Linked DNA regions of Caenorhabditis elegans. The protein of the gene in region 1 purifies or fractionates together with the protein of each later gene. This does not show direct contact. Each region holds a gene or a part of one and is shown in the gene's direction. Other genes may lie near its edges. The genes, in order: rsr-2, rbr-2, prp-8 and siah-1.

Region 1 (6,643 bases):
TGCAGAAGTAGTAGTAGTAGTTGCATCATCGAGGGTCCTGTGAATCGTACGATCATGTGGAGAAACTTAATTTTTCGACATTTTTGAAAAAAAAACTTAAGATTTTTTAACAAAAAAAAAATTTTTTTTTTTTGAGGGAAAATCTTAAGATTTGAAGTCGAAAAACGAATAATTTCGATTTTTCGAATTATAAAAAATCGAAAATTTTCGATAAAAAACTAAAAATGCTCAGAAAATTAACCAAAATATGATTTTTTTTATATAGTTTTTATTTTCCAAAAATCGAAAAACCGACACCATTTCTCGGCATCTAACAAAATTCCCAAAAAAAATTGGAAAAAGGCGACCGTGCCTCCCTACATCCTGTATTTTAAGGATTTAGGAACAACAAAACCGAAATATGCACCTGGTATCAGAGTGTCTCATTTCGGTTTGATCTACGTAGATCTACAAAAAATGCGGGAGAAAAGCCGCAGAGTTCGCAATTTTTTGTAGATCAAACCGTGATGGGACAACCTGCCACCACTTGAATATGATTTAAAGCGAGAACAACGGAAAAATGGACACTGCCGTAGTATTAAAATTGAATCTTCCAAGGAATCTTGCATTTTCCTAATGAGGAAATTCAAATCATGTACTCTTTTCCAGAATTTCCTGCCGTTCTCAGAAAAATATAATCAATGATTCGACTATTTCTGGCCGTGACATAGGAAAACCTCCGGGCGTAATTTTCATATAAATATGCCGTATTGTGACCGTAGAAAATCCCCGAGAATTGGAAAAACTGGGATATTTTGTTGAAAAAATGCGACACTTTTGCACAAAAATTCCAAAAAATGAGAATTTCTCATTTCCCCCCTCAAGTTCTCGCTCATTTGAACGAAGTAAGGCGAAAAACCTGTGTAGGTGACAGCGGCGGGCGGATCAAAAACCCCAATTTCGCGAATTGGATTGATTCTCGAATGGTTGTTATAAAAGGAGTCGTCGTCGTCGTGGAAAGAATGGATCGGCTGACTGTCTGAGACTGGCCACAAGATGGGGAAAAAAGTAGTGGCAAGGACGAAGGAACGGATAGAGATGGCGGAAAACGATTACGGTATCTTCTTCTCATTTTTCTTCAGCGACAAACACACCAAGGAATTTCGTTTTGGTACTGGAAATAGTACTCAAAAAACCAAAAAATCGAGTTCAACGAGAACCTATAATCCTTCAGTGCGTTGGTCTTTGTTGACCGTTTACACCCATATAGATTCCGAGAACATACGTCATACAATACGTTGCATAAGGATTTTCCAGTGAAATCCTAAGAAATTGGCTCTGGGAGTGGAAAAACTGTGAAGAAATAGGCATTTAGAATATAGATTCGCAAGAAATTCGATAAAAATCTCCATAGAAACGTCCAGAAGACCGATTTCAAAGAAATCATGGTTTTCTTCAAGCATCAGTATTTAAAAATATTGATGGGGAGAATTGAACTTTGAACAATTATTTTAGCAGAAAAACGGCGGGCTCTGCAATTGCGACAAATTTTAGGTGACATGATGGAAAAGCTTCACATTTCGTGCATTATAAGAAAATTGATCGGTTTCGGAACAACTCCGGCAACTTTATTGAGTAGTTTTGGAGCCAATTCGTGTCTAATAGCACATTGGGTAGAAATTTCTCCAAGAAAAACGAACAAACCGTAAGAAATTTACCAGATGTTCAGATATATTCTACAGACCTGCTACTAGAAAAAACAGCGAAACAGTGATGGAATCCAGCAAATATCAGAGGAAACAAGAATGAAGCAAAACAATAATGGAAAAGCGCGGGTGGATGCGAAAACACGTTTCCCACCAACGAAATATCGATTTTTCGCGGAGATTTCGAAACAATAGATGATAATTCTGCAATAAAAGCACATCGTGAAGCTGAAAATAAAGAAGAATGATTAAAAACAAGAGTCCATAAGCCGATCAATATTTGACGGGCGCGACACTTGGCTAAAAATCGATTTTTGGAGGTTTCAAGTGGGTCAAAATGATTTTTCTGATTACTCACGTGTTTCCGGGTATTTTTGTTGTATATTTGTGTAGAAAATTTACAAAAATTACAGTAAAATTGGCGAAAAATCGCTGAAAATCGAGGAAAAAGGCTCTTTGCTCGCTGCCGTCTCCGCACTGCTAAATCGGTTTTCGTGGTGAGACCTACGCGAGTGGCGACGCCATGCGCCTTTAAACACGATTTATTTTCGAATTGTTTTTCTACATCGTTTTCTCTTAATTTCAGCTGGGAAAATTGTTTTTAATCGATTTTTAATTGAAATTTTTGCATAAAATCCTTGAAATTTAATTTTTGTATGGGAAAATTTGCTTAAAATTGCCTAAAATCACCGAAAACGCCGTCTCTTTTCATATTTTTAATTATTTTCCAATTTCAGCCATGTACAATGGAATCGGACTTCAAACCGCCCGTGGATCGGGAACCAATGGATATGTGCAGTCGAATTTGTCGCATCTTATGCAAGCGAGAGTGAGTATTCCGGGGAAAATACTGATTTTTGCTGGAGATTTTCAGCGAAAAATCGAAATAAAAAACAAATTTAAAGCAAATTACTTGCTTTTCTCTATGCTAAACGCACTAAAAATCGTAAAATGATGCTAATTAATCATATTTTCAGCGAAAAATCGAGTACAACGGCGAAGATGACCTGCGCAAAATGGAAGCCGAGCTCAATCGAAAGCCCAACGAGGAAATCATGGATCACAACAGAAAACGTCAAATCGAGGTGAAATGCACCGAATTTGAGATGCTCCTAGAGGACAAGGGCCTCGACGACGAGGATATCGAGCGAAAAGTCGGCGAATATCGTAAAAATCTGCTGAAACAGCTCGAATCCGGCGAGCTTAACGTCGACGAGGAGCTGAGCACCAAGGAATCACACGCCAGACGTCGCGCCGCCGCGAATAATCGGGATAAAATGCGAAATGCGTTGGGATTGGGCGAGGATTACGTGCCGGGAAGCTCGATGGCCAAGATGAACAAGTCGGATGTGGTTGGAGCTGCGATGGAGTCGGAACTTCCACAAAAAGATGATAAGGAGAAGCTTCTCGAGACACTTCGTCTGCATAGAAAATCGAAGAAGAAGCAGGAATCCAGCAGTAGTAGTAGCAGTAGCAGTAGCTCATCAGAATCCTCCAGTGAAGACGAGAAGCATCGTAAGGATCGTAAGAAGAAGGAGAAGAAGCAGAAGCTGAAGGAGATGGAGAAACGTCGGGAGAAGCTTCGGCAGAAGGAACGGGAGCTTTTGGCGGTGTCGGATAAGGTGAAGAAAGAAGAACCAGCAGAGTCCAGTGATGAGGAAGACAGCCGGAAAGATCAGAGGAAGCCTCGGGAAGATCGCAGAAGATCGGTGGAGCGACAGGATCAACGGGAAGATCGTAGAGATCGCAGAAGATCCCCCGAGGATCCTCGAGAGCGTCGGAGATCCCCTGAAGATCGTACAGTTCGCAGAAGATCGCCGGAACGTCGCCGCCAGCAGCGATCCCCAAGTGTCGAGCGTCGGAAGTCACCACAACGCCGGGATGAGCGACGTCGGCGACACGATTCGTCGGAAAATGAGAGAAGATCCACTGCCACCGCGTCGAAAAAATCGAGAATGGTATGGAAATTCGAGATTTTTTGGCGAAAAATTGCGGAAAACTCGAGTTTTAATCGGGAAAATGCGAAAATTTTGAAATTTTGCATGAGAATAACGAAAATAACGGGGAAATTTTAATTTTTTCCTGAAAAATTACCAAAAAATGCAATTTTTTTTCAAAAAAACCGTAAAAATTTGGAGTTTTTGCCGGTCAAAACTGAGAAAATTTTTTAAAAATTTCTCGAAAAACTTTTAAAAAAAGTCAATTTTGAAGTTTTCACAGGAAAAACGAGAAAATTAAAATATTTTTACAATAAAAATACTGAAAAATTCAATTTTTCAGGAAAAAAAAAACTTATTTCAGCGGGTAAATCTGCAAAAATTAGGTTTTTTTCGTTGAAAAATGTGAAAATTTTAATATTTTTTTCGCCAAAAAATCCTAAAATTTATTCATTTTTCAGGACGAACTCGAAGTGAAACAAGAGCCACCAAGTGATTCTGAAGATTATATCGCAAAAACCAATTTGGCACCGATTCGTGTTGAAAAATCCGCCGAAAAAGTGGAAAAATCTCGAAAATCATCGTCAGAAAGCTCTTCGGGCTCCTCGGATTCTGACTCGTCGTCCGATTCATCGTCATCGTCGGATTCTTCTTCGGATTCGGAATAATTTTTTCTTGTGTTTTATTTATTTTTTTTTAATTTAAAAATCATTTAAATTTATGTTTTGAGCCGAAAAAATGGCTGGAAAATCTGGATTTAAAGGTTTTTTTTGGATTTTTTTTGTGTGAAAATCAAGAAAAAGTTGAAAATTTTCATTGATTTTTGCCTAAAAAACCACATTTTCTGGGTTTTCAAGTCAAATTTTATTAATTTTTTCGGAAAAAAAGTTGGAAATTAGTAAATTTTACATCAAATTTAATGTATTTTTCTCGGAAATTTTTGAGTTTTCTCAATTTTCAGTCAAATTTTCTGATAAAGCTAGATTTTCAGCTAATTTTTCTGGAAAGTCCTTCATTCTCAGTCAAATTTAAATAATTTTTCCGAAAAAAAGTTGGAAATTGGCAAATTTTGTGTCCATTTTATTGATTTTTCTCTGAAAATCCGGAAACATTTTTTTTTCATTCAAATTTTATCGATTTTTTCTTTAAAAAATCGGGATTTTAGGATAATTTTTCTAAAAATCCCTCGATTTTCAGTCAAATTTTAATAATTTTTCCGGAAAAAAAGTTGGAAATTAGCGAATTTTACGCCAAATTTAATGTATTTTCTCTAAAAATCCGGAAAAATAATTAAATTTCGTTCAAATTTAATCAATTTTTTTTTCTGAAAAATCACTATTTTCTGCTAATTTTTTTTTAGAAATTCTTTTCGATTTTCAGCCTAATTTTTCCGAAAAAAGCTCGAATTTCCCGAATTTTTAGTTTATTTTCAGACAAATTTGTTTGGAAATTCCAGACTTTCAGCCAGTTTTTTTTTCTGGAAATTTCCCGATTTTCCCGTCAAATTTAATCAATTTTTTCTGAAAAATCTAGATTTTCTGCTACTATTTTCCCCGTTCATTCCCGATCTTTTGTGCTCCAAAGAGCAAATTTCTTTATTTCTTTTTGCTACTTGTTTTCCCCCAAACGCTGTACATGAAGAATCTCCTGAAAACTGGGATTTTTCGTCTTTTTTTCTGTCTGAAGACAGTTGGAAATATCATGATTTCCCCCCCCCCCCCCTCCATCTCCGATGCTCAAAATTTTCAGACATTTCCAGTGAAATGGGCCACGTGGACCGCGAGGATCTTCTCAACGTAATTCGACATGAGCTTCGGCTCGAGGACGATGATGGTCCGGGACTTTGCTCTCGGCTTCTCCTGAATCCAGACAGGAAATGTCGTGCCGGAGGTCTTCCGCTGGATTTTAGACTGAAAAATGGGGATTTGATGGATGATGGGGATGCGGGATTTGATGATATTTATGAGGTTCGGCGGGGATTTTGGAAAAAATGTTTTCCGGAATTAAAAAAAAAAGCACTTTCAGCTTTTTCTGCCAAATATTTTATATATTTTTTGTTTAAAAAAAATATTTTTTCACTGAAAACGGTAAAAAAAATTAAAATAAATAAATTTTAAATTTTAAAAAAGCTTAAATTGAAAAATATTACAGTAAAAATTCAGAATTTTCAAAAAAAAACTATTTTTTTCCGGAATTTTCTGTTAAAAATTGCAGATTTTCAGCACTTTCTGCCAAAAATTTTCACGATTTTAAATTTTTTTCTCTCCAGAAAAGTGTTTTTTCCAATAAAATCGGTGAAATTTTATAAAAATTTCAGAAAAAAATTAAAAAAAAAACAATTTTTTTCCGGAATTTTTTTTTCTTTTTTTTTCATATTTTCAGCGCTCTTTGCCAAAAATCACAATTTTTATAATTTTTTCCAATAAAAAAGGTAAAAATTGTTGTAAAATTGCAGAAAAAAATAATTTAAAAAACTAATTTTTTTCCGGAATTAAAAAAAAATATTTCCAACATTTTCTGCCGAAAATTTCCAAAATTTTTATTTTTTTTTCGCTAAAAAATAGTTTTTTTCCAATAAAATCGGTAAAAAAATTCAAAAATTTTTTTTTTCGAAATTAAAAAAATATTTTATCAAAAAATGTTTCCCCGAATTAAAAAAAAACAAGTTTAAATTGCAAAATTATAAAACTTTCAAATTTCGCTCGAAATTTTGAAAAATTAAAAAAATTGGGTCCCACCACGAAAATCTCCGGGTTACTGTAGGCTTTCGTGGTGGGACCCAAAAAAAGTACAAAATAAGCTGAGCATAGGCAATATGGGGCTTATTTGAAAGCTCTCGGCAAGCCCAATACAGTGATAATAGTTAAAATAGTTTAATAAAAAAAAAATTTTTAATTCGAAAATTTTTTTTTCTCAATTCAAAAAAAAAAAAAAATTTCAAAAAACCTTCAGATTCCACTCTACGAGGAGCCCATCCACACCAGAACCCTAATCAACGACTCTCTAGCTCTCCGAACCGCC
Region 2 (9,486 bases), on another chromosome or scaffold:
ATCAAAATTGGCCGTGTTTTATCGTTGCATTCACAATGGCATCAATCAAGCTTTTGCTCTCATATACTGGAACAGAAGACTTCAGAATTGTTGGATTCAGTAAGTTATAGTATTTGGAAACAAAGGACAATGATAAAACAACTCCTTCTGGGAAATTCTAGGGTTAAAATTCAAAAACAAAAAATTATTACGAACTATACAAATTATTTTAATTTTGCTAAATCTTTCGCACTTGGTGTATATCCTGAGAGTTTTCGACTCAAATGTGGAACGACAAAGAAAAATATTAGGCGAAAAATTTTCAGTAGTCAGGTGGAACTAGGTGGAACAAAAGTTTTGCCAACATACCGTATATTCTCTATTAGTGGGGCACCCCTTCGCTCAACTTTGACGGATTTGCCAATTTATGAATTCAAGTTGCTTTTTTCGGCCAAACTTTTAGACGAAACTGCCCCTAAATGCCGAGATTTTGGAGTAAACTCCTTTTTTTTAATTATAGCGCTGTAGCATATGCCGGTTAAGTTTGCTCTATACAGACAAGTAGACAGATATGTTTTGCCTACATAAAATAATTTTCCTAATCTGGCATTAACTACTGAATTTCAGATGATGTCAACGTATTCTTCCTCATGGAACTTGGCTCAACTCCACTTGCAGTCATAAATCCACGTGTCTGGTTTGGAATGTTTATGTGTTCTCTTTCATACATGTCTGTGGAGACTGGATATCCAACTGTCGCTATTGTCACTATTGTTTCAATGCTCATTATTGCCTACGCAATGGAGTATGTCGATTATAGAAAGAAGCAAGAAACTGAGAGAACCGCTGTCTACCAAATTCTTCCACTTGTCGATGAGAAGAAGTTCAGAGAACAAGAAATGATCTAACAATACTTTTCGTGTTTCTAAATGCTTATTTTAGTCAAATTGACTCAAACTCGAGTGATTTTATCAAAGATTTCAAACTTGTATTTTATGCCTCATTTTCACATTCTGGTTTTTCTTGTAATTAAGGTACTAAACTATAAAACTATATATTTTATTGACTCTTTTCATATTTTACTATTGGATATGTATATCAATATTAAACCCTCATAAACTAAACATAATTGTCTATTTTAGAGTTGAAGCCAACATTCTCTGGTGTGTATGGTTAAACTCCATGGCAACCCGACAGCTGTTCTTTTTGTTTTTGCACGAACACTTTCTGATTAGATTCTGAATATGCGAAAACGCCTGCTCGTATAGCATTTCCATTTCAGAAAAATTCGGCTAGAAATTCAACATTTTAACTTACAGTAGCTCATTTACTGTTATATTGCAATAATCTCTATTTATTTTCTCGGCATTCATCCCTCGAAATCTTTTTCTTTGCTCGAAATTGACTGGGAATTCTTGAAAATTATTCAGGAAAGTCTGAGTAGCTAAGAGATAAATCTTCAAAAAGGAGAAGAAAAGTTATATATGTCCAGGAATGGGTTACTGTAGTCATATGCTGCTTATTCGTATGTTTTTTTGGTGGAGCGGCAGCGATTTTAAGGTCCTCCGGTTCGCGGTGAGAGCTGTTAGTGTATATTTAGAAGAAGTTTTTTGAAAAATTCAGTCAGATGGACACTGATATCTTCTCGGAATACAGTAATCTTTGTGTGAAAAAGTTATATATTTTATTAACGATTTATCTTAGAAAAATTGTTAACTGTCAAACGAATGCTCTGAACATCTGAAAATCGTGCACTGTTCAATATGTTACACATTTTCGCTTTAAGTTCCGCGTTCAGCCTCACTTTCTAACCACGTCTGTGATTACACGTCTTCAGCGTTCGGTCATAAACTTCTGATTCTCCCTCCGTTTCGTCTATTTGTCGTAAGAATGTGTGTAGTCGTGTGAAACAAGTCTTTTTCGCCCTTTCGTTTTTAATCAGCTTCTTCACACGCAGACAGCTGATTCTGCTTTTGCAGTTATAATCTATGTCTTCTCATTCTCTCGCGCGCAACCATCGTTTATTTCAAAACGGGCGCATAATAACTTTTTAATGAGTTTGATTTAGTTTTGAAAAATAATATTCACATTCCTTAGAAACTATGGAGATTCACAATTCGGCGAAATCAGTTTCTACATATTACTGTGTACTTTTTACAACTTCTATGATTTTAAAGTGGCGAGTTTATGCGGAATGGTCTCGCCACGCTCTGCGATTTTTTTTTCAGAAATCTGGTATGTGCGCCTTTAAGATTACTGTAGAGGGTTTGCTGGCAAATCTCCAATTTTCTCGTTTCTCCCTTTTCTTCATTTTCGATTGTTCTTTTCCCAATTTTCTGTATTTTATGTAATTAGACATGCCAGAAAAATCTCTACAGTCATCTTAAAGGCGCACACGCCAATTTTTTCATGAGTTCGCAGTGCGTGGCGAGACCATTCCGCATTGATACGCCTCCCTTTAAAACCGTAGTAAACAAACACAGTCTCAAATCTTCAATTAAAAATGCTGGCTCTCGGAGCCATAATTCCATGTTCTCTTTTTCTCTCAGTCTGTGTTCATTTTACATGCGTCTTCCTGCTTTCTCTTCGTTTTCTTTGTGTGCGCCCATCTTTCCTCAGCTGCTGGCCTCAAAAAAAAGTTAGTGCAAAAATTCACGTATTACTAGGAGGCACATGCGAGAACGCGTCGCGCACATAACATGAATAAAGTGTGATTGGGCAGGAGACCGAGAGATTATTGCTAGCGAATAGCATGCAAACAGAGGAGTGACAAGACGACGAGAGTGGACACTCGAGAGTAATGTTCGGCGGAGCGCACTTTCCTCGATTTTCGTGGGCCGACCCTGGTGGGCGCTGGGGGCTATTTCCTCTCGGTTTTTCGATTTTATCTATATTTTTTTCTGTTTCTCCGCTTATCTTTACCGCACGCAATTTCTGACGAAAAGGACACCGACCTACTGCAAAGTGGTCAAAGAATACCAGTCTCTCAATGCATTTTAGGTGACACATCAAAAAGATTCAGAGAGATGGAGTTTTCAATGATTTGAGTTACTATACGATGCCTTACGTGTCTTGACCTACATTTAAAACTCTACCAAAGATCCTTGTCTAAACTTTGAAAAGCTGCTCGACCTCAAAAATTGGAGAAATATATATATTTAAATATGAGTCATTTTTCAGCTTAATTATTTATACAATATTAAGTTCAAATCAAAAGCTTAATAAGAAAAAGCTTAAAAGCCAATTTTAAAGGAGTATAAGCTAATTTTCATTTCCGGGTTTCTATGACGTCTATCATAACACTCGTGATGCATCTTGTTTCATCACATGGAAATTTCTCGTCGGTACTTAAAATGTTCTTCTTCTCAAAGCTTTTAATTTCAATTAATATTAAAGTCAAACAAAAATGAAATTTACAGATCTCATGAAGCTATAAGCCAAACTGAAAAATGCGTGCACGTCGTCAAGAGAACAGTATCTCGACGCCGTCAGCACCGTCGACGAGCACTTCTCCGCGGAAGAAAGCATCCATCGGAAATTCAAGATCTAAGAATCATGGAAGCAAAATGGAAATGTACGATCAATTCTATAAGGTTTGATTACTAAGACATACATAAGGTGAATAAGCTTTCATAGTTTTCAGAAATTCGTACGACCTCCAATGGCTCCAATTTACTACCCGACAGAAGAAGAGTTCTCAGATCCAATCGAGTATGTTGCCAAAATACGACACGAGGCCGAAAAATTTGGAGTTGTTAAAATTGTTCCGCCGGCGGTAAGTTATTTATTCGGAAAATTGTACGTCTGACGTTTAACAAGTTTTTAATCGTTTTTGAAAAGTCTGAAAAAAAGCGAAACAATGTTTGTAGTAGTTTAAAAACTTCTACTACTCCCTTCAATTAAATACTAAATATTAGAAAATTTTCAGTTTACTAAAAGAATGGTCACCACTTGAAAAGTGCAATTTTATCTGAAAATTTTTGATTTTTCCCTCAAAAAACGAATCGAGAAGCATCAACTCTCTTTTTTTGCAGAATTTCAAACCACCGTTTGCTATCGACAAAGAAGCCTTTACATTTCGTCCCCGAACTCAAAAACTGAATGAAGTGGAGGCAATTGTCAAAGAGAAACACACATTTATTGACCGATTAATCAATTTCAATCGATATTCTGGTCTAACTTTTGAGTTTCCAGTGGATCGAGATGGAAATATTGTCGATTTGTATCGATTACATCGTATAGTTCAAAACTTTGGAGGATGTGAAGAAGTGAATGAAGATGAAAAATGGAGAGACGTTGCCCGCGAATACCTTCCAAAGGAGCAAATGGCTCGCGGTGTTCCGTCGGCTTTCATAAATTTGATTCGATCACATTATAATTTGCACATTGAACCATTTAATCGAAATTTGAAAGAAAAAGCGATGAAAAATGATGATGAAAGTGATGATGAAATGGAAGAATTAAAGCATAAGTGAGTAATTAAGAAATTTAAATAAATAAAAATCTACAAATCAGTTAAGAAAACATAATGTAGATGGATTTTTTTGAAATTATATGCATTTTAAATTTTTCTTATGTACCCATGTTTTTGTTTTTTAGAACCATGAAAAAATGTTAAAACCGATAAATAGTAAAATTTTTAATTTTGTTATTAATAATTTCCCCCATTATTCTAATTAAAAACGAATGAATTTCATAGATATCAACATCACCACGGAACTATGCGGACAGAAATAGAAGTTCCAAATGATAAAACTACTGAAGGAGGGGAAGATGAGTGTCCAGTGTCGATGCAAAGTGGTCGACGGAGATCTAAAAATAAGAAGGCTTCATCTTCAAGAAAGACTCTTGGAACATCTTCAAAGAAGAATTCAACCAGAGGAAGAAGTTCGTTTTTTAAATTTAAATTTTTTAAATTTATTTTCACAAATTACAGAAAATAAGAAGAAAGCCGAAGGAGACGATGATGATGATGAAGATCCAATGGATCAAGTATTCTGCGTTGCTTGTAATGAAGGAAAGGATGAAGATCTACTACTTCTTTGCGATATTGATGGATGCAATAATGGTCGTCATACATATTGTTGTGATCCAGTACTCGATGAAGTACCAGAAGGCGAGTGGAGATGTCCAAAGTGCATTGAATCAGAGGATGCAAAAATCGGATTAGACTGGGGATTTTATGATGCGGACACAGAATACAATCTGAACTCATTCACTGAATTTGCCAACAAATGGAAATGTGATTATTTCGGTGTAAAAGATGTATCACAAGTGTCGTGTGATGCTGTGGAACGATCATTCTGGAAGAATGTAATTTCACACGAAAATCCAGTTTCTGTCAAATACGGTGCCGACTTGATTACGAGTCGAGTAGGAAGTGGATTTCCTCGAAAAGAAGATAAGCACACTGGCCCAGATCTGAAGCTGAAGCAGCAATACGCTTCACATGCATGGAATCTGAACAATATGCCTGTACTTCGAGAATCTGTTCTCTCACATTTTAATACTGGAATTTCTGGAATGATGGTACCGTGGGTCTATGTTGGTATGTGCTTCTCGACGTTCTGCTGGCACACCGAAGATCATTGGACGTATTCTGTTAACTATAATCATTTTGGAGAACGGAAAATTTGGTACGGTGTTGGTGGAGAAGATGCTGAAAAGTTTGAAGATGCATTGAAGAAAATAGCACCTGGATTAACTGGAAGACAAAGAGATCTATTCCATCATATGACTACAGCTGCAAATCCTCATCTTCTTCGTTCATTGGGAGTTCCAATTCATTCAGTTCACCAGAATGCTGGTGAATTCGTCATTACATTCCCACGTGCTTATCATGCTGGTTTCAATGAGGGACTCAACTTTGCGGAAGCTGTCAATTTCGCTCCAATTGATTGGCTATCAAAAGGTCGAGAATGCGTTGAGTCTTACTCAAATGTACGAAGATATCTTGTATTTTCTCATGATGAGCTTCTCTTTAAAATGGTTGAAGCAATGGATAAACTTGGAATTTCGATGAGTTTAGCAACACATGAAGAACTGATAAGAATATATGAAAAACAAAAAATGTTGAGAGAACTTCTCGCTCGCCTCGGAGTTTCCAATCGCCAAATGCAGCAAGTGATGTTCGAAAAGATTCCAGATGAACAAAGATCGTGTCGTTTTTGTAAGACGACTCTCTTCATGTGTGCATTGGTTTGTAACAAACACAAGAAAATGACTTGTGTTGAACATCATGATCATCTTTGCAATTCGTGTACAACGAAAGACTACAGATATCAGTACAGATTCGAGTTGGATCAATTGAACAATATGTGTGATGAACTTGGAAAGCGTACGGTTAACTACAATGGATGGAAAGAAGAGTCGGATGAGATGCTTGAAGAAGAAGGAAAACCAAAACTCGAGAGAATTGAAGAGTTTATAGATTCTGCCAAACAAAACAAGTATCCACAGACAGATCAAGTTCATAAATTGATAACAATTCGTCATACAGCCAAGAGTGCCATTGAAAAAGCAAATCAATTGCTCTTTAAGAAAGTACGAACGCGAACAAAAACCCGATGTCAGAGAGCCGACACTCGTACAGACACCGAGGGAGTACGGTCATTGATTGAACAAATGCAAGCCATGGATTGCAATTTGACTGTTATTATTGATAAACTTGAGAAATGGATGGAACAAGTTGAAATGTGGAGAAACAGAGCAAAAGATGCTATCTATCGAGAACAAGAATACTCAAAAGAAGAAATCGAGAAGATTATTGAAGAGGGAGATGAATATGATATTAAATTGGAAGAAATCGATGAGTTGCGAAAAGTTATTCAAATGAAGGATTGGTCGGATAGAGCAAGAAAAGTTACTACATGGAAGGCAACTCCCGATATGGAGAAAGATATTGATTTTGAGTATAAGCTTCGATATGCATCCAGTGATATTTTATCGTAAGATTTTAAAAATATTTTTTCTCTTAAAAGGAAATTTGTGTTTGTGGATTTTTCCTCGAATGGGCTCGGCCCAAAACGACCGAATTTCATGATGAGACCTTAAAAATATTTCCAAATACTCTATACCCCTTTAATTCAAAAATTCAATTATATGTTTCAGATTGATTCGTGATAGTCCACGAAATCCCACAGATGGTACTTCTAAACTCGTCTTTGAACTTCAACAAATGCTCCGTGACGCCAATACACTCGAGGTCATTGCAAACAATTTCTGTGAGAATCCAGCACTTGATCAGCTTCAATCAATTTGGCAAAGCCTTAGAGAAACTGATTGGTTCTATGAAAAATGTTTGTTATTTAATGCATTAGTAATTCTTACAAAATAATTTTTAAGATATTAACATGGTTCGCTATGAGATCATTCATGTTGCCAAAATCAAGTCAATGATAGATGCCGCAATTCCCGTGCTATCAGAATTTGATTTAAAAACACAACTGCAGAAAATTGTCAATGTTGAAATTACACTATCGAAGGCGGCCGAAATCAGTAAAGCATTCGAAACTTCAAAATGTCTAAACGGTTCCGAAGAGCATCTCGGGATTTTGGATATGATCAGCACAATGAATGCATTTACTCAGAGGATAGCTATTCTGTTCAAGCCAAATAATGCGTATCACAATCTTTTTGAAGTGAGTGAGATTCGTGAAATTTGACGATTTTTCGCAAAAAATACGGTACCCGGTCTCGACACGACAATTTTAGTTAAATACAAACGAATGTGCGCCTTTAAAGATTACTGTAGCTTCATAATTTCGTTACTGCGGAATTTTCATAGATTTTTCATAGTTTTCGTTATAAATTTATTTATTTAATAAAAAACTATGTTGAAATAATTAAAAACATGAGACAAATACTAAGAAAAAAAAAGAAAAATCAAGGAAAATTTCGCAGAACCAAAAATTTGAAATTACAGTATCTTTAAAGGCGCGCACCTTTTTAAATTAAACGAAAAAATTTCGTGTCGAGACCGGTGACCGTATATTTGGGTAACATTAATCCAATCAGGAAGTAGCATAGACATTAGCTTCGATCTAATTTGCCTTAAACTTGAATTTTCCAGATTCTCTCCGAACGCGATGATTTAACTCCACTTGCTGAAGGACAAACGATACCATTATATTTTCAAGGAGGCGCAGTACATCCATCTGATGAATGGCATCAAATGAAAGAATTCGAGTCATTAGATCAAATTGTGCATCATCAATCATCGCTACGTGAAATGCAAATGAGAATTTTTGAAAAGGTGAAACAAGCAAATTCAGCTCGTGGTCTTGAAGCATGCTCATGTCTTGGATTCAACAAATCAGATGATTCCGAATCAACACTGACATGCATAATGTGCGATTCAGAGTTTCATGTTCGATGTTGCGAGTGGTCACCGTTCCTTGAAAAACTTCCAGAAGGATGCTTTTTATGTGTTCGATGTCTACGGGGACAACGTCCAGTCATTGATGATGTAACAACTGCTCTGAATGGAACACCTTCTGGATGTTTGGAAACACATCTTGTTCGAAATCTAATACAAAAAACTCGTGGAATCACTCAAAATTTGATGGAAGCTGCTAATAAACGGAAATCAGGAGAATCCAGCGACGATATTTGTAAAATTGCCTTATTCGATTGGCTATCGTGTGAAATTCTGAATCCCAATGGTCTTCCGAAGGCACGCGAGCTGATTTCAGAATTTTATATGGAATATCTTCAAAAACAGTCAAGGTTTGTACACATTATATGTATTAATTTTATTTTTAATTTTTTCAGCGCCGCACTAGAACTCAAAAATCGCCCGGTTCGTTCAAAACCATCGGTATCACTCTTCGATCCAAAAATCACAGCTAAACGCAAAAGGCCAAGTGTTTCACACAAAGAGACGTCGAAAAAATCACGCAAACGTCAAAGTCAAGCATCACCCAGTGAATATTACGAAGACGAGTCTGAATTCAAGTCGTGTCAAGCTCGCGCCTGTTTGAAGCCATATGGAGACTCAGTGAACTGGGTGATGTGTGAAGCAGGCTGCAAAAACTGGTTCCATGTGATTTGTCTTGGATTCACTCTGAGAGGTAAATTAAGATCGGGTTTTGTGGTTTTTTGGAAAAAAAATTTAATTGTAAGGAGAAAAAAAAACGAACCTTTGTTTTGTGACAGACCTGATCTCAAAAAAAAACTTTGTGCCAAAAATACGGTACCCGGTCTCGACACGACAATTTTTGTGAAACACAAACGGGTGTGCGCCTTCAAAAAGTATACTGTAGTTACCAACTCTCGTTTCTGTGGGATTTCATTGTCGTAAAACTTTAAAAAATTTTAAAAACTTCCGCGTTTTTATTTACTCTTTAAAGGCACACAACTTTTTTGCAAGTAAAAAAAATTGCCGTGTCGAGACCGGCTACCATATTTGTTCAATTTTGCGTATTTGCTAATTTAACAATTTTTTTTCAGAAATTAATGACATGCACGAGTACCGTTGCTCATCCTGTCTGGATCATGCGGACTCTC
Region 3 (6,235 bases), on another chromosome or scaffold:
GCATACACTGACTCTTTGATTATTAGCATCGAGAGCATAAATTTGAAATTCTGTCATGATGGGCTCCTCTCCTCTCTGAAAAAGGTTTTTATATTTTATATATAGAAAATATGAATGAAACTTACGGCTAATCCAACTTGTCTCAAGAAAAACGATACATTATTCACATCTTCATCACGCTTTCCATTTGGATACACATGAAGTTCCCAGCAAACTGTTGGCGCATCAGGGACACTAAACATTCTTGAAATAAGATTCGAACCGTTTTTGATTAGTTTCATCAATTTCTCAAATTGTTCGATTTTCCATTCCAATTTTGTAGAAAGTGCCGTCACACGCGTTGCTTGCTTCGAAACTACTTCTAGACGGCGAGGTTGTGGAGGAAGATCGTCAGCTGAAAATGAAAATAATGTTAAACTCTCAAATTAATTGAGCTATTCTCACTAACCTCTGGAACTGATTGTGCGATTAATCTGCTCCGTGGATGACCACGAGGAACGTGAAGACATATTATATTGCGAATAAGTTTTACCTCTGTTGATAAGTTGAGCGAGCAAGAGGTTATTCTGAAAATAAATTCAATTAAAAGAAAGCTATTCCCGATAATCTCGATAAAAATAAAAGAAAATGATTAAATTCAAAAAGACACAACAACTGGGAAACTCCGCGAATGAATTATTTACGAAAAGCAGGAGTTCTTTGTTAGAGTTACGAAATAAGCAATACGATTTTCGAAACCGATCTACGAAAAATTACACATATTAGAAAAGTATTAAAATTACGAAATCGCCGTTTGATATTCGAAAATACTACCTTTTTTTTAAGTTGGACAGTTTTTAAAGTTTTCAAAAGGAGATCTTCATGAACTCGTCTATGAGGAATAAATGTGGTACATTTCAATATAAAATGGGTAACAATGACAGTTTGGAAATAATTTCCTTTTCGAAAAATTGATATTTGTACAAAATTCGGAACAGTTTCGAAAAAATGATATTACCCCAGTCACATGACTTGAAAAAGGAAAAGTTGCAATTCAGAAGCTTTACTCAGATTCTGAGGGCAATAGAAAATGCCAATAAGTTTTCGAAAAATCAATAAATTTTTTCGGGCAGATGTCTTTCCTCGGCGGCGGCGAACGCGAACGCAAATAATGGCTGCCAAGAAGAGGCGGGTCTATTGATCGAAACATTACGCCGAAGAGTGTTTGAATTACCGGGCACCGTAACCTCAAACACCTGCAGATCTAAGTACGACGCTCCACTCGACACAATTGCGCGCGTTGTTTAGATTTAAGGAAATTTAAATTTTACTTTCGAAAATAGAAATTATCGGTTTTTATTCATGATTTTCTGGTTCAGTCTGAATAAATTCCGTTTTTTAATGTAAATTTTGTGCGCTATTAACTGTAATGCACAATTCCAACTATCAATTCATGTGATCTTACAGTCTAAACAAAGACAAATCTCTCTTTCCAGTTTCTCTACAGTAATACTTATTTTTCCTTGCTCGTCAACTCATTGATTAGTTTTAATTCTATTTTTATATAGTGTGTTATAGGTATGGCCAACTACGGCGGTCATCCCCAAACTGAACCACATGCTATCCCGGATTCAATTCTGGAAGAAAAGTCTCGAAAATGGAAACAACTTCAAGGAAAGCGGTATTCGGAGAAAAAGAAGTTTGGAATGTCCGATACGCAGAAAGAAGAAATGCCACCTGAGCACGTCCGAAAAGTTATCAGAGATCATGGTGATATGACTTCTCGCAAATATCGTCATGATAAAAGAGTCTACCTCGGTGCTTTGAAATATATGCCACATGCCGTTTTGAAGCTACTGGAGAACATGCCGATGCCCTGGGAACAAATCAGAGATGTAAAAGTTCTGTATCACATCACCGGTGCGATCACTTTTGTCAACGACATTCCGCGTGTCATCGAGCCGGTCTACATGGCACAATGGGGAACGATGTGGATTATGATGAGAAGAGAAAAACGTGATCGTCGTCATTTCAAGCGAATGAGATTCCCTCCATTTGACGATGAAGAACCGCCTCTCGATTATGCTGATAATATTCTGGATGTCGAGCCTTTAGAGCCAATTCAAATGGAACTAGATCCAGAAGAAGACGGAGCTGTTGCTGAATGGTTCTACGATCACAAGCCTCTTGCAACAACTCGATTTGTGAACGGCCCAACGTACAGAAAATGGGCATTCAGTATTCCACAGATGTCCACATTGTATCGTCTTGCAAATCAGCTGCTTACCGATTTAGTAGATGATAACTACTTCTACTTGTTTGACATGAAAAGTTTCTTCACTGCTAAAGCACTCAACGTTGCAATTCCAGGAGGCCCGAAGTTCGAACCATTGGTAAAAGATTTACATACGTAAGTGAAAAGCTTCCAGTTGTGTTATGACGCATACTATTTTATTATTTTCAGTGATGAAGACTGGAACGAGTTCAATGATATCAATAAAGTTATTATTCGAGCTCCAATTCGTACCGAGTACAGAATTGCATTCCCATTCATGTACAACAATCTGATCAGCTCGCTGCCTGTTCAAGTTTCATGGTATCATACTCCTTCAGTTGTATTTATCAAAACTGAAGACCCAGATCTTCCCGCATTCTACTATGATCCATTGATCAATCCAATCGTTCTCAGCAACTTGAAAGCAGTGAGTTATTTACAAGTTTCAGCAATGTTTTAAAATAAAATGCGGATATTATAAACAGATTCCTATAAATTTACAAGGTAGTCAGTAGCCGAAATTCGCAATATAAATTTTCCATTAAAGGCGAGAAATCATCCTTTTTGTCGGTGATATCTAGAAATAAAACTGGAGACAATTCGTATTGTATGTCAAAACATTTTCAGACTGAAGAAAATCTACCAGAAGGTGAAGAGGAAGACGAGTGGGAGCTGCCTGAAGATGTTCGACCCATTTTTGAAGACGTTCCACTCTACACCGATAACACGGCTAATGGTTTAGCACTTCTATGGGCCCCTCGGCCATTCAATCTTCGATCGGGAAGAACGAGAAGAGCAGTGGATGTACCACTTGTCAAATCGTGGTATAGAGAACATTGTCCAGCAGGTTAGTTTTGTTTCTATTTTTTTCGTTTCGTTTCTCGCATACTAAGCTGAAATAATATATTCAATTTTTCAGGAATGCCCGTGAAAGTTCGTGTTTCTTATCAGAAACTGCTCAAGGTGTTTGTTCTGAACGCTCTCAAACATCGTCCACCGAAGCCCCAGAAGCGTCGTTATCTGTTCCGTTCCTTCAAGGCAACAAAATTCTTCCAAACAACCACCCTGGATTGGGTAGAAGCTGGATTGCAAGTTCTTCGTCAAGGATACAACATGCTCAATTTGCTCATTCACCGAAAGAATCTCAACTATCTTCATCTTGATTACAACTTCAATTTGAAACCAGTTAAAACATTGACAACAAAGGAAAGAAAGAAATCTCGTTTCGGAAATGCATTCCATTTGTGCAGAGAAATCCTTCGTCTCACAAAACTTGTTGTTGATGCCCATGTTCAGTATCGTTTGAACAACGTCGATGCGTACCAACTTGCAGATGGTCTACAATATATCTTTGCTCACGTCGGTCAACTGACCGGAATGTATCGTTACAAGTACAAGCTCATGAGACAAGTCAGAATGTGCAAGGATCTCAAGCATCTCATCTACTATCGTTTCAACACTGGGCCGGTTGGTAAAGGACCTGGATGTGGTTTTTGGGCTCCGGGATGGAGAGTTTGGTTGTTCTTCTTGCGTGGAATCACACCACTGCTCGAGAGATGGCTTGGAAATCTGTTGTCTCGACAATTCGAAGGAAGACATTCAAAGGGAGTGGCCAAGACAGTCACCAAGCAAAGAGTTGAATCTCATTTCGATCTTGAATTACGGTAAGCTTTAAATGGCAAGAAAACGAATTTATTTATTAATATTTTCAGTGCTGCTGTCATGCATGACATTCTGGATATGATGCCGGACGGAATCAAACAAAATAAGGCTCGTGTTATTCTTCAGCATTTGTCAGAGGCGTGGAGATGTTGGAAGGCTAATATTCCATGGAAGGTTCCCGGACTGCCAACTCCAGTTGAAAATATGATTCTACGTTATGTGAAAGCAAAGGCTGATTGGTGGACTAATTCGGCACATTACAACAGAGAACGTGTAAGACGAGGAGCGACAGTAGACAAAACTGTGTGCAAGAAGAACTTGGGTAGATTGACAAGATTATACCTGAAATCAGAGCAAGAAAGACAACACAATTACTTGAAGGACGGACCATATATCTCTGCAGAAGAAGCTGTTGCAATTTACACGACTACAGTACATTGGCTGGAATCAAGAAGATTTTCTCCGATTCCTTTCCCACCACTTTCTTACAAACACGACACAAAACTTCTTATTTTGGCTCTTGAAAGACTGAAGGAAAGTTACAGTGTGAAGAATAGATTGAATCAATCCCAAAGAGAAGAACTGGCTTTAATTGAACAGGCTTATGATAATCCTCACGAAGCTTTGTCTCGTATCAAGAGACACATGCTCACGCAGCGTGCATTCAAAGAAGTCGGAATTGAGTTTATGGATCTCTACACTCATCTTATTCCAGTCTACGATATCGAGCCTCTTGAGAAAGTCACTGACGCTTACCTCGATCAATACCTCTGGTATGAAGCAGACAAGAGAAGATTGTTCCCGGCATGGGTGAAACCAGGAGATACTGAACCACCACCGCTTCTTACATACAAATGGTGTCAAGGTCTCAACAATCTTCAAGATGTTTGGGAGACAAGTGAAGGAGAGTGTAATGTCATCATGGAAACAAAATTGGAGAAAATTGCTGAAAAAATGGATTTGACACTTCTCAATAGATTGCTCAGATTGATTGTGGATCACAATATTGCCGATTACATGACTTCGAAGAACAACGTTCTCATCAACTATAAGGATATGAACCACACCAATTCTTTCGGAATTATTCGTGGTCTACAATTTGCTTCGTTTATTGTTCAATTCTATGGATTAGTTCTTGATCTTCTTGTTCTTGGACTTCGACGAGCTTCCGAAATTGCCGGTCCGCCCCAATGTCCAAACGAGTTCTTGCAATTCCAGGATGTTGCCACAGAAATTGGTCACCCTATTCGTCTCTACTGCCGGTACATCGACCGAGTTTGGATCATGTTCCGTTTCAGTGCTGATGAAGCACGTGATTTGATTCAAAGATACTTGACAGAGCATCCAGATCCGAATAATGAGAATATTGTCGGTTATAACAACAAAAAGTGTTGGCCAAGAGACGCTAGAATGAGATTGATGAAACATGATGTCAATTTGGGTCGTGCTGTCTTCTGGGATATCAAGGTAAATTTTATTTTTAATTATTTTTTTAAAATTTTAACACGAGGTATAAGAAAGCGAGCAATTATTCGATGGCTGCTCGTTGATAATTCCTCGAAAACTAATGGAAATTAAGCGATTATCCGCCTCATGAACAGATCCATCATTTAACTTGAATGATAAGGTCTACTTGACAGGCGTACATTAAAATGTAGAATTTACTATTTTGATTTTTAAATATTTGTTATTTTACAGAACCGTCTCCCACGTTCCATCACAACTGTCGAGTGGGAAAATTCATTCGTATCAGTGTACAGTAAGGATAACCCGAACATGTTGTTCGACATGTCCGGATTCGAGTGTCGTATTCTACCAAAGTGTCGTACGGCTAATGAAGAGTTTGTTCATCGTGATGGTGTATGGAATCTTCAAAACGAAGTGACAAAGGAAAGAACTGCTCAGTGCTTCTTGAAGGTCGATGAGGAGTCATTGTCCAAATTCCATAACAGAATTCGTCAAATTTTGATGTCTTCTGGATCTACAACGTTCACCAAAATTGTCAACAAATGGAATACAGCATTGATCGGATTGATGACCTACTTCAGAGAAGCTGTTGTGAACACTCAAGAACTTTTGGATTTATTGGTGAAATGTGAGAATAAAATTCAAACGAGAATCAAGATTGGACTCAACTCAAAAATGCCCTCAAGATTCCCTCCAGTTGTTTTCTATACGCCAAAAGAAATCGGAGGACTTGGAATGCTATCTATGGGACACGTCTTGATCCCACAGTCTGATCTTCGATGGATGCAACAAACGGAAGCTGGAGGTGTCACTCACTTCCGTTCCGGAATGAGTCACGATGAAGACCAATTG
Region 4 (7,029 bases), on another chromosome or scaffold:
CCGTTATAAACATTGGAGAAATTTTTTGATACCTCTGATGCAGAGGTACAAAAGGAAACCCCTATAATTTTTCAATCATTTGACCAAATTTCACTAAAACGTTATTGGGCTTTCGTGGAATTTTTAAAAAGGGGTATTTTGGCACTTTCAAAATGTCGTAACTTGGTCGAACCTGCTCTGAAGATAAATTTTTTTGGAGTGATCATCTGTAACTATTCTCTATCGAATGTATATAGTGGCGTAATGAAGTCCGATAACGAGTTCAGAGCCTTCCCTTGTTAGGGCAAGAAACCCACAGACGCTGCCTCAACTTTGAATAATACCCACGCGGTGCCAGAGTGTCCCATATCGGTTTGATCTATGAGAATTGCAGGAATTTAGACGAAGACTTCCAAACTGATTTTGCATGGTGAAGAGCCTGCTGACGTCACATATTTCTTGGCTAAAAATTTCCGCATTTTTTTGTAGATCAAACCGATATGGGACAGCCTGATACCAACACAATATACCTAAAGCTTGCAAAGCTATCTCCAATGCTACTGAAATGCTAGTTGTAGCAACAAATAATCGTGTGCCTTATTGAGATTATTTCCTTCAGATAATTTCCTTACATTTCCTTATATGAATTTCAATAAAACGTCACTTTATTTTTTTATTATTATTGCTACATTCCCTATGCTGCCTCTCATCGACCACCGAGAGCACAAGCACCTGACCCGGGTACCAGTCACCCTAACAGCTGATCTTTCCATATGACCAACAGTGCATGACCATCAATTTTTGAAATTTTACTTTAAAAAGGTTATTGGTGCCTGATACGCCTTTCATATAAAATCGCTCTCACCATCCCTTCCCTCCAACCGTCTCTCTCTCTCTCTCTCTCTCTCTCTTCAAAAATCGATTTGATTCATTCTCATTCGCATGTCAGCTGGTAGAGAAACACAGAGACTCTCTTACAAGCCCACACATCTCGTCGTCGGTCTCTCTGTCGTCTCTTCCACCACCCACACTATCCCGGTCAGTCATTCGTTGGTGAAAAGATGTGAAAGAGAGAAAGAGAGAGAGAGAGTACGCACACAGAACGCGTTTTATTTCATATTTTTCTTCCTTTCGCCTCTTTTCTTCGTTTTATTCACTCTCTTATTCGTATTTCTATTGTGTATTTATGCAAAGTAATCGTCGAATTTGAGGGTTTTAATCCTTTTGTTAGGTTTTGAAAATATTATTTAGAGAAAGCTAAAAAAAAGCGAATAGTAAAGTTGTTTTCTTTTGCCAGATTTTGTTGTTGTTCTCTGCTTGCGACTTGATTTATAAAGTGTCTGTGTGGACAATAGAACCTTAAAATTGATACTTCCCGAAAAAATTACCACTTTCTTCATGGATTTCATCACTATTTCGTTTAAGATAACCATAATTTAACTTTTCAGTGATTTTTGTGAATGTATTACATTTTTTTTTGAATGTTTCAAATTTCCATTTTTAGAAAGTCACTTATTCAAATAGTTTGCAATCACGTTTTACTGAATCTAGTATCTATACTAGGTATTCAAGTTCATGAAAATCGGACCTTATCCCTTACTTATCTTATTGATTTTCCTAGCCCATCTCTCATCTTTTGTTCTTGATTGCATTGATTTTAGGCGATTATTTTCAAATTTTAATATAAAATTTTCAAAATTTCCTAGTAAATCTTTAATTAAAAAATTTGAGCCTCAGTTGTTTTTTTTGCACAACTTTCCCGGTAATTTACCGAAAATGAACATTTCCGACAAAACTGCAAACCGGCAAAAAATTTTCACAAACATTTTTCTGCAAATTGTGGTTTTCCACATTTTTTTCTGGAAATTTTAGAAATTTAATTTAAATTGGCAAAATTGTACGCATCCTATGAATGTTCCTACATCTATTTTGAAAAGTAAGCAAGTTCAATGAATGTATCTAAAGAAAACGGGAAAAAAAAACTTTCAAAATGACACTGTTTCAAGTGCTTCCGTCTTATTAAAAAATCCCTCTAAAAATTTCCGGCAAACGGCAAATCGGCAATTTGCCGGAAAAAAATTGCCACGTGGTGTCAAAGTGGCTCATTGCGGTTTGATCTACGTAGATCTACAAACTATGCGGGAGTTGAGACGAAGAGTTCCCAACTGATTTCAAATGGTTAACAATGTGCTGACGTCACATTTTTTGGGCGAAAAATTCCCGCATTTTTTGTAGATCAAATCGTAATGGGACCATGTGAGACCCCGTGCCACTCCTGATTCAACAAACCTATTCTAAAAACTTTACTCTCTTCGTAATTCCTCACAATTTGACCTCCAGCGACTATTTCTCACGTGACAACAACAAAACACTCACAATTCGTTATCACCAACTCACCAATTACAGAGACGACGGGAAGACGGCGGCATCCGCAGACACCGAACCACCCACCACCTCCAACATCGTCGTCCTCGTCATCTCGACTGCCTTCGCTGATGAGTAATCGGAACGGTGGTGGAGGAGGAGGAGACTATCAGGACGTGATCGAGTCTCTTCGTCGTACACAGCTCATCTTTGAGGAGGACGATAATAATAGTAGCGATTCGGCTCCGCAAGCGAATCATCTATCCAGACATCAGACTAGCAATTCTTTAGTCGAAGATATGGTTAATCACTCAAATGGTGAGACTTTTTTGAAAACTTTGAGTCTTGTTTGAAAGCCTGCTCATCCCCGAAACTTAGAAACGGCCCAAAATTAAAGAAAGGACTTAATTGTCCAACGGAATCAAGAGAGTCGGCTTTTGAATTTCTATTGAGTATTATTAATTGAGACATGATTAAAAGATCACTGTTTCAGCATTTCACTTGGTGCCAGAATGTCCTATTTCGGTTTGATCTACGTAGATCTACAAAAAATGCACGAGTTGAGACGCATAGTTCTCATTTTATTTGGCTTAAGAAAGTTTTACGCAAAAAAAGTCCGCGTTTTTTGTAGATCAAACCGTGATGGCAGGGGTTTTTTCTGACACCACGTGATTTTTCCGACACACCACTACCTTCAGCCAGCCAAACCTTTAAGCCGGAGCCCAAATCCCCTGCTTTCTCCAACCATGCGTGCTCACCAGTCATTAGTCCCCCCCCCCACATCCAAAACGACACCAATTAAAGTCACTCAACATTTCCTCTTTACTCCCACCCCCGAGAGAAAACTCGCTATTCTATCTCTGTGTTATAATCGACATATGCATCGTAAAGCGGTGTTTCGGAGCCCCTCCCTAGTTTTTATATACCTGCTGAAAACTCTCTCGGAGAGCTCGCTCGCTTCATGATGATCGCATTTTCCCCCACATGCGTTCTTGCTGCTGCGTAGTGAATGCGCTTATTATTGAGTGTATTGAAAATTGGCTCAATGAGCGAAGTAAGTGTGAAACTATATCTTGGAGCCCAGAACTAGCACCATTAAATTTTACTTTCCAGGCAACCCTCCACCGGTCCCGCCAGGCATCACACAACAGCAATGTCAAATCGGATTGACACCTCGGATGTCGGCATCGCCACCGTCTGCAGTGTCAACAATCTCTGGAACCGCAGTGCTTGGCAAAACGATGGCCAGAGTTCAGAGTAATCCCCCGGGAAGTAGTGAGTTTTTCTTGATTTTCAGAACTGTAACGCTAAAATGTAAAATTTTCCAGTACCGCACAACACAACGACGACCGCGCAAGGAATCCAAAGCGTCGCACCACATATTCCAATCGGCGGCGGTGGAGCCACCGACGACAGCAGTGCAGAGATCTTGTCGGTGTTTGAGTGCCCGGTATGCCTGGAGTACATGCTGCCACCATACATGCAGTGCTCATCCGGACATCTTGTCTGCTCGAACTGCAGACCAAAGCTTCAGTGCTGCCCGACTTGTCGGGGTCCAACTCGTGAGTTTTGAAGTTGAAATTTGAAAATTGCGTGACTAGAAGAGTTTAGTCAAAGCTGAAAAAATTACCACAGCTTGAGCAGAGCTGATATGATAGAAGACTAAGATCCTTTCTGGTTGATCGATCTGTCTCAGTCGAGCGCCTAAGCATTTTAGCTGTGTTGTTTCTCTAATGTAGCTAACGAATCAAGGATCTACGGATCTTCAAAGTTTCAGAGTATATCTCAAATTTCAAGACTAAACCTTCAATCTTACAGCTTCTGTCCGCAACCTGGGCCTCGAGAAGATCGCCAACACCGTCCGCTTTCCATGCAAATTCTCTACGTCCGGCTGCCCCCTGAACTTCCATCACGCTGATAAGACCGAGCACGAGGAGCTCTGCGAATTCCGACCCTACTGCTGCCCGTGCCCTGGAGCTAGCTGCAAGTGGCAGGGAGGCTTGTCGGATGTGATGGAGCATTTGAAGAAGATCCACAAGAGCATCACGACGCTTCAAGGCGAGGATATCGTCTTCCTGGCCACTGACATCAATCTTCCTGGAGCAGTTGACTGGGTTATGATGCAGAGCTGCTTTGACTATAATTTTATGTTGGTGCTCGAGAAGCAGGAAAAGTACGATCCAGCTCAGCCAACTCAGATGTTCTACGCAGTCGTTCAGCTGATTGGCTCGAAGAAGGAAGCTGATAACTTTGTGTACCGGCTTGAGCTATCGGCGAGCCGCCGGAGAATGTCATGGGAAGCCACACCGAGAAGCATCCACGAGGGGGTGGTAGTGGCCATTCAACAGTCGGATTGCCTAGCGTTCGATTCAAATGCTGCACAGCTTTTTGCAGGTGAGCATTGACTTTTGCTTTTATCTTAATCGGAAATTACCAATTTTTGTTAAAACTGAGCTTTCAATTTTTGTTAAAACTGAGCAAAAACAGCTTTTTTTGTGAGTTGACAATTTTTTTGGTAACTTTGTTAGACAAGGGATACAGCTGGAATAGTTGAGTGCATCATGGTGCATCGACCGAAATAGTTTTAACAGCCGATACCCCGGTTAAGTGTGTGAATGCTAACAAAAATGTAACCGCTAAACTATATAAAACACGAGAACAAATATTTTGTGAGTTGGAACTTTTTCGATAGAACCAGAAATCCAAAAAAATTAAGTTTCCTTTGAACATGGTGCATCGACCAAAAATTTCTAAGATTGATAAACTCGGTCAATTTTTGAAGATATTAACAAAGTGTCTATTAAAAAATAAAAATAAAAACCGAAATCCGCAGAGGTTTTTTTGAAAAGTTTTTAAAGTTGGGCGAGATATGGTGCATCGACCTTTAGTAGCAAAATTTTTGTCAGTTCCGGAATATAAACTTTAAAAGTTACCCTCAACAAAAATCAACTTTTTTTTTCAGAAAACGGAAACCTTGGAATCAACGTCACTATTAGCCGAATAGATACTCCACAGAGGTGAGAATTGTATTTAAAAACTTTAAATTCAAGTTTAAATGTTTGAAAATATTTAAAAATTACAAAAAAAACACATTTTTTCAATAAGCCAATTTTAATCTATTTAATTAAAAAAAAAAAAAACTAATAACTGATTTTTTTTCAGGCGCCACCCAAATGAGTTGGAAAATTCTGATCTCGAGTACGACTAGATATGCACAGTGTAAACGTAATAAAATTATTTTTGATTTTTTTCTTCAAAAATGTGATGAAAAGCTTAAAAAATTCAGTTGAAAATCCCCTTACAATCAGAACATTTTAAAAAATTTAAAAATTAAAAAAATTTTTTTTTTGGATTTTTTTTCTGAAAAAAAAACTATATTTTGTTCTAATTTTTTTTTATAATGTAGAATACCCCCCCCCCCCCCCCGCCCCCGCCTCAAAATATTAATTATCTGTATAGCATATCCTTCCATGACTCGGAATGGATAACCACAGAACACTACGGATTTTTTTTCAATTTTTTTTGGTTTATAAATTTCTTTTTTTTTGTATTTTACACTCGATTTACACATTTTACGAGCTTTCCTGTGTTGTTTTATCGATATTTTGTACTTTTTTTTTGTCTCTTGAACCACTTGCGTAATAGCCACATTTTTCTTTCCAATTTTTACGATTTTATACTTTAATCATGTTGAATAAATTTTTTTGAACTTTTTTTGATGGTTAATTGAAATTTTGGAGAAAAAACATTTTTTTTTTCAAAATTAAAGAAATTTAATTCATTCTCAGTTTTTTTTATTTGGAAAATTTGCATCATAACAATTTTTCACAATTTGAGTATTTTCAAAATTTATAACAGAGTGCAAATAAAATTTTAAATAATTTTTATAATTTTGATTTTATTTCAAAAACATTAAAATTAATTAAAATGAACAATTAAAATACCAAAAAAAATCTCTAAAATTTACAATTTGGAAATTAATTTCAAAATTCCGAAATTTTGCAAAATTTAACTGTCGAAATACAGAAATTGCGTTAAAATTTAGTCTGAAAATTTGAAGAAAAGACAAAAAAGAAACATTTCACATTTCTATCAATAGAATTTTAGAAAACTCGGAACTAAATCAGAAAAAAAAAGAATTATTTTTTAGTCAAACATTTCTTTTATTTCAGAATTTTCTGCTTTACAAAAACCAGGTTTTCATAATTCCATAAAGTTTTATTTCAAATTTCAAACCAAAAAAATGCACGAAATTTATACAACATCCCATCTCTCCCAGCGAATTCTACTCAGATTTCTCCTTATCTCCAGAGAAACCAAGTTTCGCGAGCAGGTGTCTAATCAACAGTACCGTCGAGACAATTGACAGAAAAAATATAAAAACTGCAATGATCACTAGATCCAAATTGAAATATTTCAAAAACGAGAATTCTTTTCCAGCAGACGTCCACCTGGGCATTTGCCCGAACCTTCCAGCCATCTCCACCGTATCAATGATCTTTTGCCGCGGGGAGAACCTCTCAGTGGCAAGGATCCGCGCGAGAAGTTCCGCCGATTTTTTGTATTCCGGATTCTCGAGCACTTCTTTCAATGCTCCAATGAGCTTTTTCGTGTTGCTCAAGTCCATTTTATCGTAGATCAGTGCCACGCCGTGTCTCTTCGCGATCTGTGCATTGCGCATTTGGT

The links.
Region 2: the proteins of rsr-2 (region 1) and rbr-2 purify together in Caenorhabditis elegans (affinity purification with mass spectrometry, with the first as the bait; one large-scale study listed by BioGRID). This does not show direct contact.
Region 3: the proteins of rsr-2 (region 1) and prp-8 purify together in Caenorhabditis elegans (affinity purification with mass spectrometry, with the first as the bait; one large-scale study listed by BioGRID). This does not show direct contact.
Region 4: the proteins of rsr-2 (region 1) and siah-1 purify together in Caenorhabditis elegans (affinity purification with mass spectrometry, with the first as the bait; one large-scale study listed by BioGRID). This does not show direct contact.

The regions. Positions count from the first base shown.
Region 1 is NC_003280.10:12,222,934-12,229,576, forward strand, and holds rsr-2 (SRRM2 protein homolog rsr-2), read left to right. Parts: upstream 1-2,422; 5' UTR 2,423-2,424; coding exon 2,425-2,514; intron 2,515-2,662; coding exon 2,663-3,643; intron 3,644-4,083; coding exon 4,084-4,290; 3' UTR 4,291-5,275; downstream 5,276-6,643. Other genes in the region: sinh-1 (Stress-activated map kinase-interacting protein 1 homolog), read left to right, coding at 5,386-5,589, 6,575-6,643. UniProt on the Caenorhabditis elegans protein: Plays a role in pre-mRNA splicing as component of the spliceosome. Involved in modulating global transcription, probably acting via interaction with RNA polymerase II.
Region 2 is NC_003282.8:10,916,679-10,926,164, forward strand, and holds the start of rbr-2 (Lysine-specific demethylase rbr-2), read left to right. Parts: upstream 1-3,391; 5' UTR 3,392-3,428; coding exon 3,429-3,572; intron 3,573-3,615; coding exon of another isoform or gene 3,616-3,622; coding exon 3,623-3,754; intron 3,755-4,013; coding exon 4,014-4,450; intron 4,451-4,678; coding exon 4,679-4,866; intron 4,867-4,915; coding exon 4,916-6,926; intron 6,927-7,089; coding exon 7,090-7,277; intron 7,278-7,323; coding exon 7,324-7,619; intron 7,620-8,050; coding exon 8,051-8,706; intron 8,707-8,751; coding exon 8,752-9,050; intron 9,051-9,429; coding exon 9,430-9,486. Other genes in the region: ZK593.3 (High-affinity choline transporter 1-like), read left to right, coding at 1-99, 607-887. UniProt on the Caenorhabditis elegans protein: Histone demethylase that specifically demethylates 'Lys-4' of histone H3, thereby playing a central role in histone code. Does not demethylate histone H3 'Lys-9', H3 'Lys-27', H3 'Lys-36', H3 'Lys-79' or H4 'Lys-20'.
Region 3 is NC_003281.10:8,162,818-8,169,052, forward strand, and holds the start of prp-8 (Pre-mRNA-splicing factor 8 homolog), read left to right. Parts: upstream 1-1,555; 5' UTR 1,556-1,559; coding exon 1,560-2,389; intron 2,390-2,443; coding exon 2,444-2,681; intron 2,682-2,722; exon of another isoform or gene 2,723-2,855; intron 2,856-2,881; coding exon 2,882-3,101; intron 3,102-3,173; coding exon 3,174-3,918; intron 3,919-3,966; coding exon 3,967-5,383; intron 5,384-5,396; exon of another isoform or gene 5,397-5,566; intron 5,567-5,614; coding exon 5,615-6,235. Other genes in the region: bath-42 (BTB and MATH domain-containing protein 42), read right to left, coding at 1-75, 126-394, 449-509. UniProt on the Caenorhabditis elegans protein: Functions as a scaffold that mediates the ordered assembly of spliceosomal proteins and snRNAs. Required for the assembly of the U4/U6-U5 tri-snRNP complex.
Region 4 is NC_003282.8:3,741,663-3,748,691, forward strand, and holds siah-1 (E3 ubiquitin-protein ligase siah-1), read left to right. Parts: upstream 1-2,385; 5' UTR 2,386-2,474; coding exon 2,475-2,661; intron 2,662-3,456; coding exon 3,457-3,618; intron 3,619-3,671; coding exon 3,672-3,905; intron 3,906-4,161; coding exon 4,162-4,737; intron 4,738-5,305; coding exon 5,306-5,360; intron 5,361-5,505; coding exon 5,506-5,551; 3' UTR 5,552-5,689; downstream 5,690-7,029. Other genes in the region: ugt-45 (glucuronosyltransferase), read right to left, coding at 6,629-7,029.